2 separate regions of the Mus musculus genome follow, and region 2 is reported to be linked to region 1. Evidence: microRNA targets listed by miRTarBase, many of them from high-throughput screens and not tested one by one. Region 1 holds a microRNA gene; the other region holds the end of a gene's coding sequence.

Region 1 (6,264 bases):
CCCTCCACAGCCTCTCCCACGGTCGGGTCGGTCCCTGCTGCTAGCCTGGGACTTGGGCCGAGTCTGAGGTTTCCAATCAGAATCTAGGGCCTGGGCCCTGAGTCCCATAGCTGGACAGAGTGGGAACAGCTCATTTAGAAGCGTCAGCATAGGGAGACACCAGAGGCCACTTTGGAGGGGGAAAGCCATCTTAAAGATATTCTGTGCTTTCCCACCTGTTGCTTCATCTGATCCTTAAAACACGCTGCAATTGTGACCAGGTGCTTCCCCACGTCCCTTCTATGAGGCCCTAATCTGCAGCAGGCCCAGTGTCATATGCTGAAGACACCAGTAAATAGCCTATTGTCCCAGTCTAAGGAACTGTTCCTCTGAGGCTGTGTTGTAGAACACTGGGGCTTCCCTGGCTTCCCAGGGGCAAACCTCCAACACAATCGACTTTCTACAGAGCACACGTGATAGCCAAATCCTCCCCCTTTATGCTGCATCCAGGCAGTCAACTCAGAACGCCAGGTCAGATACCAGGCCCCAATACCAGACAGCCTGAATTAAATCCTCATTTCCTGTTCAGTTGCGTAGTTGTCCTTAGCCTCTCTGGGCCTGTTTTCTCTTCTGCAAAATGGAGGAGCGGATTACTCTCATCTCAAAGCTGGCTGAGGATGAATTCTTTTTCGTATTCTCATTGATTATCCCTCCCACCGGCTACACCAATCAAAAGCCAAGATAAGCCTGCTCGGTGTGTATAGGTGATTCCCAGCATGCGTGCCAGGTCTTGTCCGCCTTCTTAGCAGCGTCCCAGGTGACCAGTGGTGGCCCTCAGTCCTCTGAGTGGTGCCTGAGGTGGGAATGACAGGCAGGGTTCCTAGCTCAGAGCAGCCTTGCCATATAAGGGCAGGAGCCACAGAGCGTCCTGCCTAGGCCTGGCGAGACTATCCAGACAACCACTGTTTATTTTCTCCTTCAGCGTCCCCTCCTCTCACCCCTCCCGGGAGCTTCCCAACGGACAGAAGGGAGAGATCCCCTTGCCTGGAGACATCTTCTGAAGACATGGGAAAAGGAGACGAGGCGGGCTACTCCCTGGCAGCAGGCCTTCAAGCTGTTGACAACCAGTACCAAGAAGAGTGCCAGGTAAGATCTGGAGTCCACCTGGTTCAGCCACCGCTTTAACAGAATGGAGAACGGGAGATGAAGGGGCCCAGTGAGAAATATCCCTGCTCTCTGGAGATAGAGCTTGGCTCTCTAAGCCTCTCTCATCTTCGAAACGGCAGCTCAGGGAGGGCGAAGGAGCCTTTCTTGGGGTGAATGAAAGGCTTCTTCAAATACTTCTTCTCAGGGAGGCTACATTTGAGGGAGCCAGGGGTCCGGACAAGCTCTGCCTACCAGCCCAGGACGTGTATGTTCATGGGCCCAGAGAAAAAAGGCATTCCTTCCTGTCCTACTGTTCCTTCCCACCATCCCAGTCCCCACCCCACCCCTTCCAGGAGGCCTTTTGAGCTACTCAAGGGGTGGGGGGAAGGAACCTCCCTGGCCACGAGCTCTTGGCAGTCTTTCCACGGGCTCTCTAGAGTTCCGATGAGTCTGCCCCCATGCCCTCCTCGGTGCCTTCCTTCCCCCTCAGCCTCTGTGTCCTGCAAGGACAAGGACAGTATTAAGGCTGCAGTGCAGGGACATACTCCCTTAGCACATAGAGATGGTTCTGGATCTGCTGAATGAGCTGTCGCACACCCAGAGAGCTAAGAAACTGAGATGTCAGGCATGGAGTTGAAGGTGAGGGGCCAGGCCCAGCATGGTGCCTTACACTCCAACCCCGGGGAAAATTCTATTTCCTTGGAGTCTTGGAGACCTATGGGGATATGTGCATTTAAATGTTCACCAGCTTGACTATTCTAGAATCACAGGGACAGAATGAGACAGTCTTTATCCAGGGATGGGTCAAGGAAGAAGAGGCAAAGACCTTTCCTGGCTGAACGCCTCCCTCTCCATACTGTCTGGCCATTTATGTCTCCTTAAGGAAGATGGACCACCTTCTGTCTAGTTCTCGTGTCCCGCCAAGAAGATGTAAAATCTTTGCCACGTTCTCCTTTATCCCAAGGTGGGATGGCAGCAGCTCTCATTTCCCCTTTCTGAGTTGCTGACTGCAAATCTAGAATGCCCTATCCCCATTCCTGGTCCTCCAACCAAGGTGATCATTTCCAGCCACAAAAGCTGACCAGAAGGTAGAGCAGGCTCTGCTGTCCCGCCCCAAACCTAATCAGTGGATGTCCTGTTTTTCACTGCAATTTTATTGTAAAGAGTAAGGGGAATCCTTTTATGTACCTAGGTTGGAATACTTGTTATAAATGGAAAGCTAACACCAGCCAGAGTTTTAAACAATAATAATAATGAAGATGCAACATCAGTACCACACTGTCATCTGCTTCTGTGGCTTGTCAGACACCGACCTGAAGCCCCTTCCTGAAATAAACAGGCCTCAGGAAGAAGTCAGAGGCAGAACAGCTAGGCTTTCCTCCCCACACACAGGGCTCCAGGTCAACAGGCATTGTGGCTTATGCGTGTAATCTCAGAATTCCTGAAGTAGAGGCAGGGGGATCAGCAGTTCTATACACTGAATGAGTTTGGGGCTAGCCTGGTCTACATGTGTCTCTGTTTCTAAAATGAAAGGACAAAAGGGAAAATAAGGGGGAGGGGAGGGCAGACAAAGAGGCAGGGGACGACCCAAATGGTATGTCACCAAATGACTCCCAAAGATCTCCACTCCCTCTGCTTCCCCAGAAAGCAAAAGCAATGGAGGCAAAAGGGCTTTGGGCACAGCTGACCCTGGGGAAGGCTCCTAGCAACCCAGCTAGGCTGTGTCCACCACTCCTAGCTACTTACTGAAATGTCCCTTGGTCAACTTCAGTGCCACCTCTCCCAGGGTCCATGGGAGCTGTGGGGGAATGTCCTGGAGAAGACATTCTGACTCAAGAGAGTCCTGTATTCAGATCTCCTGGTAAAAGGGCTGTGGAAAGTGTCTGAGGAGTCCAGACAGAGGGAAGATGGTAATTGGCTGGGGAGTGCCTGAAGGCAGAAGTTTCCTGGCCTTAACAACAAATCAAAGAAGCTTTTCCCACTGCCCCTGCACCTCACCCCTAACTTCAGGGAGCTAGATTCCTATTGGGAGGCCTAGGAGCAAAGGGGTTTCTAAAAATGGAGGCGCACTTTTTTTTTCTGTTCTCTCCAGCCCTGAGGAAAGGCTGCCTACCCTCTTCAGAAAACCCTGAAGGTATGTATCATCCATCACCAAGGCCACCGCAGTCACCACGAAGCAAAGGTTATCTGGGGACCCTGGGGGAGGGGGGTGTCTTAGCAAGAGCAGGGTGAGTAGGTGGTTTGGGGGTCAGGGGTGTTCTGTTCACCCCGAAGTTCCCACACAAGCCGTGGCCACAGAAGATGGTCACCACGTGTCATCTTTTGTCTGTAGTCACATGCAAAGTCATCGGCAGGTTCTAGGGACCCCAAATCATAATATATGAACCCTGGCCTCAGGGAACTGGAGAGGAAAGCTGGGGTGACCCAGAGATAAACCGCTCCAAGGCCACAGAGGATGAGGTAGGTTGCAAGCCACTCAAGCAGTGTTCAACGGCGGCCTTGATCCGGGGGTTGAGGGAAGCCAGCAGACTCCCTTTCCTTACGAAGGAAAGTGGCCATAGTTGAAAAGGATACCCCAAGAGCTAGGGAGAAACAGGAGTGCAAAGGATGGGCGAGCCCATAAAGGAGATGTCCTGAGAACTAAAGAAGAGACAGTTTCTCACTAGCAGTCATTTGTGCTGCGTGCATAAAGAGACGGATGGGGGGCGGGGCACAAACAGGGGAGCCACAGGTTGAGCAGGCAGGCCCTGGGTTCCATCTTTAGCACTGAAAAAAAAAAAATTAACTGCATGCTTGAAATGGGTGGGTCTATCACAAGAAAGCTAACTTAAAACGACAAAAGGACAAGAAAGTGGAAATTTCAGTCCCAGAGGGCTCCAGGGTAAGCCAAGACCCGGATAGGAGGCAGACCACTGCGCATGCTCACACTCCTCCTGCCCAAGAAGAAAGCCGCGCGGCCTGCGTGCGGAGCGCCTGTCTCCCAGCCTGAGGTGCAGTGCTGCATCTCTGGTCAGTTGGGAGTCTGAGATGAAGCACTGTAGCTCAGGAAGGGAGAAGATGTCCTGCAGCCGTCACCGGGACGTGGTAAGTGTTGGCATGGGATAGCGGACTAGATAGGTTGTCCCTAGATTCTGCTCCAGCAGCTTGTGGCGATGTTCCTGGGCTCAAGCTGTACCAGGGCCGATCACTCTTGTGCCCTCTACAACAGTAAGCTCTGGTCCATTCAGGGGCTGCCAGCACCAACACCCTGCCTCTACTTCCTCAGCCTAGAGAAGACACTGCTAACAAAGACGCTACATCTACCCATTCTGGGGAGGTTCCAACACACCCTCGGAACCCTTCTCAACACTGCATAGTGAATAGCCATTGTATATGGTTCTGCGTTGAAACCCCTTCGTCTCTGTAAATCAGACAGTCCTTAACAATCCTTAGCCCCAGTAGAGGCTCAGGATCCCGGCAACCCAACGATACGACACTGTCACGTTGCAACCACGAAATGCCAGACATTAGGCCTGAGGTCACAGTCTTCACTTTTTGAGCTCTACCCTGCCTCTGTGCTACTGCCTGAGCCAGGCTGGCATCTCACAAATGTCTGCCCTTGTCCCAGAGGCTTCAGAGAGGCAAGGGGCAACAGAGGAGAGTCACTGGGGTATATCCATTTGTTGCTAACCTCCCAAGCCTGGTCTGAGGAAGGCGACCCACTTCCTAGAGGAGAGTAGAAGAGAACAAACCCCACCCTGGTCTTGGTTACTCTCAGCTGTAGTAACAGCAGAGACAGAACCACACACTCCTGCATGCCAGAAGAGGGCATCAGACCCCTTTATAGATGATTCTGAGCCACCAGGTGGCTGCTGGGACTTGAACTCAGGACCTCTGGAAGAGCAGCCAGTGCCCTTAATCGCTGAGCCATCTCACCAGCCCCTGACCATTCATACATATTTCTAAGCGTCCATGGCTTCGCTGCCTTCATGCTGGCTCCTGACCCATCCAGTGGGTCCTATTTGATGCCACTTTACAATCGTACGAGGATCAGAGGCCAAGTGACCTGCTGGAGGACCGCAGCGAGAAGGTCACTAGAGCCTGGGAACGGACTTTTAATAATCACTGGCCAGAGTCCCCGTGGACCATGGCGGGGGGAGGGAGGCAGGGAGGACTGGTCCCAAATGCTTCCTGACCTTAGGGAAGGTACTTTCCAAGCCACTCAAAGCTCTAGTTGCTCTTCCCAGAGCAGGACGCTGCATCCCGGGAAGGAGGGTGTATACAGCGCCCCACGGTGGATGCCGAGAGAACTGCTGGTCCCTAGGGGCGTGGCACGTGCTGAAGGCATCTCTCTCTCTCCCACCTTGTCCTCACGGTCCAGTTTTCCCAGGAATCCCTTGGATGCTAAGATGGGGATTCCTGGAAATACTGTTCTTGAGGTCATGGCTTAGCAGCTGGATCTGTCTCCCTCCCACCCTGGCATTTCCTTCCGGGGAGTAGGGAGGAGGAGGCGGTTCGTCGGAGGTAAGCGGTCTTGGGAGCTCTCTTCTGACCTTTGTATAGCTTTTCTTTCCGCCCTGTCCATATTTCCTAACATCCCCAGGAGGGAGGCTGGATGTGGGAAGCTCAGAACTGCCTCACTCTTGAGAAACTCGTCTCAAGACACAGTGGTTGAAAACCAGACTATGAGACGGCTCCCCTCCACTCTGACCCTCCACATGCCTTCCCTGTAGACCTTGTGGTGAGGAGGGGCCACAGACCCACATCCACACTATTAAGAAAGTCATTCGTACATTTATTTTTAAAGTTTATTAAATCAGCTAGGTAAACTAAAAGCCATTCATCTCCGTTGGATTTGGAGGGCAGCCACAGGGAAACGAGTTTTCAAGGTAGAAAATACAAGACTTGGAGCGCCCCTAGTGGTGGCTCTTCCCACTGCAGGAGCACCTTGTGATCCCTGCGCACAACCACAGACGTGCTTAATCCTTCCTTGTTCTTGCCAGAGATGCTTCCCGGCTTACAGTCGGCTTTTCCTTAGGCCCAAACAAGAGCCAGGTCGCCTAGAAAGCAAAAGGCAGAGCCAGGGTTGATTTCAAGCGTGGAATTGAATGTCTGAGACAAAAGAAAAAGTAGAGGCAGGAACTACTTATAGCTCCCGGC
Region 2 (6,045 bases), not on the chromosome of region 1:
CTCAATGATGCTGGTCTCTTCTTAATCACCGCTAATTTCTTAGCTCCAGCTAACCAGCATCAATAGTCTCAGTAATGCAAAGTTTTTGCTTTGGTAGTTCTGGTATCTTGTTAATCACAGCTGATTCTTCAGCCCCAGCTATCCAGAACTACAGAATCTTCACAATCAAAACAGCAATGGCCCTGAAAAGAGTCTTTAATTTTCCCTCTGAAATTTCACAAACCAGACCTCCATCTTCTGCAGTGTTCTCAACATTATCTTCCAAGCTCCTACACAACATCCGACAGAGCTCTTAACAACAAATGGATCTTCAAGCCCAAAATTCCAAAGTCCTTCCACAGTCCTCCCCAAAACATGGTCATGTTGTCACAGGAATACCCCACTCTGCTGGTACCAATTTGTCTTAGTCAGGGTTTCTATTCCTGCACAAACATCATGACCAAGAAGCAAGTTGGGGAGGAAAGGGTTTATTCGGCTTACACTTCCATACTGCTGTTCATCACCAAGGAAGTCAGGACTGGAACTCAAGCAGGTCAGGAAGCAGGAGCTGATGCAGAGGCCATGGAGGGATGTTCTTTACTGGTTTGCCTCTCCTGGCTTGCTCAGCCTGCTTTCTTATAGAACCAAGACTACCAGCTCTGAGATGGTCCCACCCACAAGGGGCCTTTCCCCCTTGATCACTAATTGAGAAAATGCCTTACAGTTGGATCTCATGGAGGCATTTCCTCAACCGAAGCTCCTTTCCTGTGATAACTCCAGCTGTGTCAAGTTGACACAAAACTAGCCAGTACAGATACGCATGAGCCTGCTTCATTAAAAAAAATTCTTAGGGCTGGTGAGATGGCTCAGTGGGTAAGAGCACCCAACTGCTCTTCCGAAGGTCCGAAGTTCAAATCCCAGCAACCACATGGTGGCTCACAACCACCCGTAATGAGATCTGATGCCCTCTTCTGGTGTATCTGAAGACAACTACAGTGTACTTACATATAATAAATAAATCTTAAAAAAAAAATTTAAAAAAGAGAATGCAATTAATATTTAAAAAAAAAATTCTTAGCTGGGCATAGTGGCTCGTGCCTGTGTTCAGGACATAGAAGGCAGAGGCAGGCCGATCACAGTGAGTTCAGCTTGGTCTACACAGCAAGATCCAGGTGAGCCAGAGCTGCATAGTGAGACTTCGTCTCAAAAGGAAAAGTTTTCTCCCCAAGTTTGAAGGATAGTTCATGAGTTGGGCTGGCCTTGGCTGCAGTGACTGTCCCTCTATACTATTAGTTCCTGCCATTGTCTTATATTCTCTAATACACAGGTTCTGTACCCATGACTAAACTATGCCTAATTCAGTTGCTCTCCTCTGTCCACGTTCTACAAACAGGTCTATTAAGGCCTGGGTAACTCTTATCTGTCTAGATAGCCAAGGAAACTTTCTCATGTGCTGTTACTAGAAAAATTTCTCAGGCTCGACTTGATTGCATATTATGTTCTGTGCTTTGGTATCCTTAGAAACCAAATCACAACAGAGGCCAGATAGAACTGCTTTGTAAAGCCAGGCGTGGTGGCGCACCCCTTTAATCCCAGCACTTGGGAGGTAGAGGCAGGCGGATTTCTGAGTTCGAGGACAGCCTGGTCTACAGAGTGAGTTCCAGGACAGCCAGCCAGGGCTATACAGAGAAACCCTGTCTCAAAAAACTGAAAGAGAGAGAGACAGAGAGAGAGAACTGCTTTGTATAATTAGCCATAATAAGCTTGGACCAGGACCGACCACCCAGCAGTCCCTCCTGCACCTAGCTAGATATGAGCCTTTATGGTTGCTTGCCTTTATTAGCTGCCCCTGGGACGGCCCTCAATATAAGAAAGACACCTGCACCAATATAAGAAGCCGTTTAGAGTAAAACTGCCATTTTGAGTAGGGGGTCAAATAATGTTTAAGTTTCCAAGATCTCCCTGGAAATTGACATCCTACTTGACAGAGACATTTACATCCTGGTTGGCAGGTTAAAACATGAATGTTAGCCAGGGCACTCTATACGATGTTAGCTGGGCATCTCAGCCAGTTCCCAAGTCTGGACTGCTTCCCTGATCAATCACTCTTGTCGTGCGTGTAAACTCAATAAACCAACCCCGTTTGACTGAGTTCTGTTTCTGAGTGGTTTGTGCAGTGATTCCCAGGCCCAAATAAGACCCAACAAATTCAATTCCGATGACTTCGGACAAAAATACAAAGAAACTATTATGGGAACATTTTACTTTTTTTTCAATTCTTATTTTTAATGATGGTTCTTAAATGCTTTATCCTCCCTTTTAGCCCACCACCCACCAGAGGGCGTGGAAAAGGAAGGATATGGGGAAAGTGGGCCTGTTTGGAAATGGCTCTTTCTTTGGTCAAAGCTTATCCGTGTTATTCAATTCACAAGAGTCAGCAGTGGCAGCTCAATCCACTCGCAAATACTTCACAGATATATTAGCAGTACAGGTCTGTAGAGTCAGGATAGCACTACCTAGCAGACAGCCAGGCCTTAACCTGGGCACAAATCAGCAGGAGGGACCCAGGAGGGCTGTCAGAAGTCTGTGATCAGTGTAGACGCAAGAGCTACCAACAAGTGTTGCACAGCTAGCTCTATCAGCAAGCTCAGCTCAGCCTTCCACTGTCCCATCTATTTCTTCTCCCTCAAAACATCACATCTTCCATGGGTCTTGTTTCAACATGTGCATTTGTCTCAGTTGACATCACTCTGCCAATCAGCCAGTCTGAAGAGGTGGCAACAAACTGCAGCACACTACCAGAAGTCTTTTAATGAGTTTCTCTCTGTGGGGTTCAACAAATAGAGCTCAACTAGGCAATGCAAGGCGGACCAATATGTACATTAGCAAACAATCCTTCATCATGTGACCTTCCATGTCTTGATTCAGCAGAGCATCGTTTCTCCTGTGTCTGCTTCAGTGAAACATGTTTGCCTTAGCAAAACACCATCCAACACAACTGACTTTCCAAAGATCCCTTAAGACTGAAAGAGTCCCTTACCCTGGAGTCCTTCAAGTGTATCTAGAATTCCAAGACAGTTAAAATTTGCTTAAGGCCTTTATCCCTTCCCAACTATAAACCTACAATCTGCTAGGAATCTCACCAGAAGATACATTTACAGTCTCTCCATCTGGATGACTTATTTAAATCTATGTATGGCTTTTAAACATTTAAAACTCAAATGCTTAGTCACCAGAGAGTAAAACTGTTTGATGAAAGGACCAAAGATTAGGAAGTGTGACCTTGTTGAGGAAGCTTGTCATTGGGGTTGGGCTTTGAGGTTTCAAAAGTCCACACCAGGCCCAGGCTCCCCACTCTTTTCTCAGGTACAGATCAGGATGTAGCTCTCAGCTCTGATCCAGCACCACACATGCCACCCTGTCCCTACCATAATGGACTAAACCTCTGAAACTGTTAGCAAGCCCCAGTTCTTATACAGTATATATATATATTATGTACATGTGTGTCCACCTACACTTGTGCCAGGGTTCATATGGAGGACAGGGGATCTCTTGCATGGAGTCAGCCTGTTTCCACCATGTGGGTCTTGGGGTTAGGATATCAGGCTTAGCGCCAAGTACCTTAATCCACTGAGCCATTTTTCCATTTCTGAGTCTTTATTGAAAAACTGGTATGTATGCTCTCTTGATATTTTTCTTGAGCATCTTTCCATTTTTAATAAAAACCCTAACTCTGCTTCATGCTGCCCTCTTCAAGAATTCTTTTGTTTGTTGAAGGACACCTGCACACAACATGTATGCCTGGTACCTGTCACTCCAGAAGTCAGAAGAGGGCAATGGCTTCCCTGGAACTGAGGTGGTTCTGTGGGTGCTGTAACCAAACGTTGGTCTCTGGAAGAGCAATGAGCTACTCAACCACCCCTTTAGCCTGGGGGTTGGGTTTGTTTTGATTTGAATAGGATCCCCAGGCAATAATGTTATACAAAAGCAGAACTAAGCCAAAGATGCGAACCATTTCACTTACACCTCACACACCTAACCGTGGCATTGTTATAATTGACCACGTTTACCAACCAATGACTACAGGTCACAGTTTTTACAATTAAACTTAAATTACTCACTAAGTCTCATGATTCTTGGTAACTAACCAAGAACGACACAGGTCAGCATGTTTATTTGTTATGACTGTCCTTCTGTTAAGGCCATGGGATCCAGCAGGTCACTGTTTTACTCACGATGTTGTCCAGGCTGGCCTGGAACTCACCTGGTTCTGTATTAGAGAACTATGGGAGTAAAGACAGTGGCTCACAAACATGGCAGCAGGCCTCAAGCCAGTACACATCAGCAGATAAAAAACACACAGCACGTTATAGAGAAATACAACTTTAATCAACCAGAAAGGTAAACTCTGGGCATCTGTCATCTTTGCACCTAAAAATTAGAAACCAGTGGAGACAAACTGTTGAAACAAGGCAGTCTCTCCCCACACCTGTGAAGTTACAAAAGCCCACACCTTGCGAGTTACAAAAAAAATGGTAACATGAAAATAGAAGTCTGAGAGTCATAAAAAGAAGTGTTGTCTGCTTCTATAAAATAGCACCTGTAATTAGGTAAAAGGTGTTTAAAAACCATTACGATGGCATTTCTGAAATGCAGCTTTCTTATCTCCAGTGATGCCCCTAAAAAAAGCACCCCTTAAAAACACAATCTATCGTGGGGTAAAAAGCTTTTAACATCTCCAGAAGGTTTTCACTGTAGTTCCCCAAACACTGCTCAGATAAGGGGAACGATGTGCTTCTGGTCCTAGCTTCTCATGAGGAACTAGGGGGTTCTGGGGACCTGAGCTGTTGGGGACTGGGCCCCTCATTTGGCAAGAGGGAGTGGGGAATGGATTTCCCTAAGCTTCCTCCTTCGTATCCCTCACACCTGGAAGAGGGCCACTCCACCCACCCTTCCTGAGCTCCAAACATTCTACTCCAGTCTTCGTGAGGACTAGCCACATGGGCCCCTGCCAGGGAAAAGCCCTAAAGGTGATGATGTCATCCCTGCTGACATCATCATCCTGGGAAATGCTACAAGACCAACAGGACTTCAGCCCTTGTACCAAAGCAAGGGGAAGGTGCCAGGAAGACTTAAACCATAAACATCATCTTCAAATACTCCTGGGGGGAGAGGGGGAATTTTTTTTGGCCCCTTGACCTTGCTCATCTGAGCCCACATTCACAATAGCATCCTCCAGCAAATGTGGAGCACGGGTTACTTAAAAACAAAATCTCAAGTGATTTTGCAGCATGAACCTGAGTACTAAGAGAGCTGTTGAGGTTTTTTTTTTGTTTTTTGTTTCTGTTTTTGTTTGTTTTTTTGGTATCTTAGCCATCACTTCTGAGTGATAAACTCAGGAGGGTAAAAGAAAGCCATCTTACTACCTACTTCAAGTTTTAAAGTTTCAGGGTAAGAGAACATGAGCACCATGCCGGGCTACTCTAAGCAGCCAGGTCTGAGCTGTGCACACGGAGGGAGCACCGGGGCTCCCCTGCAAGGGCCAGGAGGCTCTGCTCCCACTGAGCAGGAGAAAGCTGAGGTACAGTGATGTGAGGCCCCACACAGGTGAGCTAAAAAGGGGACAGGTGAGGTGCCTTCAGGGAGGGGTGACTCTGGGCACTGGCTCTGACCGAGAGCTCCCCAGTCCTGGGTAGAACTATTCACAGGCAAAGTAGTCCTTCAAGGGGGCAAACAGGTGTCTGATGACCGGTACACTCCAGGACCTGCCCAGCAGCTTCTGACGGGCGCCGCGGCCCATGTTGGACACGTCCGTGTAGTGAGCAGGGAAGCCGAAGATCCTGGAGTATAGAGAGAAAAGATGTGAGGTTAGAAAGGTCCATGTCTCTAAGACACCAACAACAGCTGTGTTCTGGAGTTCCAGGTCTGGGAAAGCCACCAGCCCCCAGCCCCCACCCCCCACACGCCCACTGTATCTGCCCCATGTCTCTACCCTTCCCCATGCCTTCTGACAGGACTATTGGGCTCAAAGGAACCTTCCAGACTACCAGTCCCACTGCTTTCTCC

What was found. Region 1 holds the annotated microRNA mmu-miR-143-5p (GGUGCAGUGCUGCAUCUCUGG, at 4,115-4,135, shown strand). A microRNA usually pairs through its seed, bases 2 to 8, with sites in the 3' UTR of a target mRNA and lowers its output. Matches are read on the target gene's strand: a 7mer-m8 pairs with bases 2 to 8, a 7mer-A1 pairs with bases 2 to 7 and ends in A, and an 8mer does both.
Region 2: the mRNA of Dnmt3b is a reported target of mmu-miR-143-5p. The part of its 3' UTR that is shown has no 7-base or 8-base seed match.

Annotation. Positions count from the first base shown.
Region 1 is chr18:61,647,104-61,653,367 of GRCm38, reverse strand. Mir143 (microRNA 143) reads left to right here and starts at 4,110; the gene lies at 4,110-4,172. It overlaps Carmn (cardiac mesoderm enhancer-associated non-coding RNA), which reads left to right. Exons shown (of 5, transcript NR_045402.1): 3 at 962-1,125; 4 at 3,218-3,461. It overlaps Mir145a (microRNA 145a), which reads left to right and starts at 5,474; the gene lies at 5,474-5,543. It overlaps Bvht (braveheart long non-coding RNA), which reads right to left. Exons shown (of 3, transcript NR_045420.2): 3 at 5,883-6,164.
Region 2 is chr2:153,686,032-153,692,076 of GRCm38, reverse strand. It overlaps Dnmt3b (DNA methyltransferase 3B), which reads right to left. Exons shown (of 23, transcript NM_001271744.1): 23 at 4,347-5,819. The coding sequence ends at 5,678. Among named protein-coding and RNA genes, the nearest start is that of Dnmt3b, 40 kb to the right of the region's middle.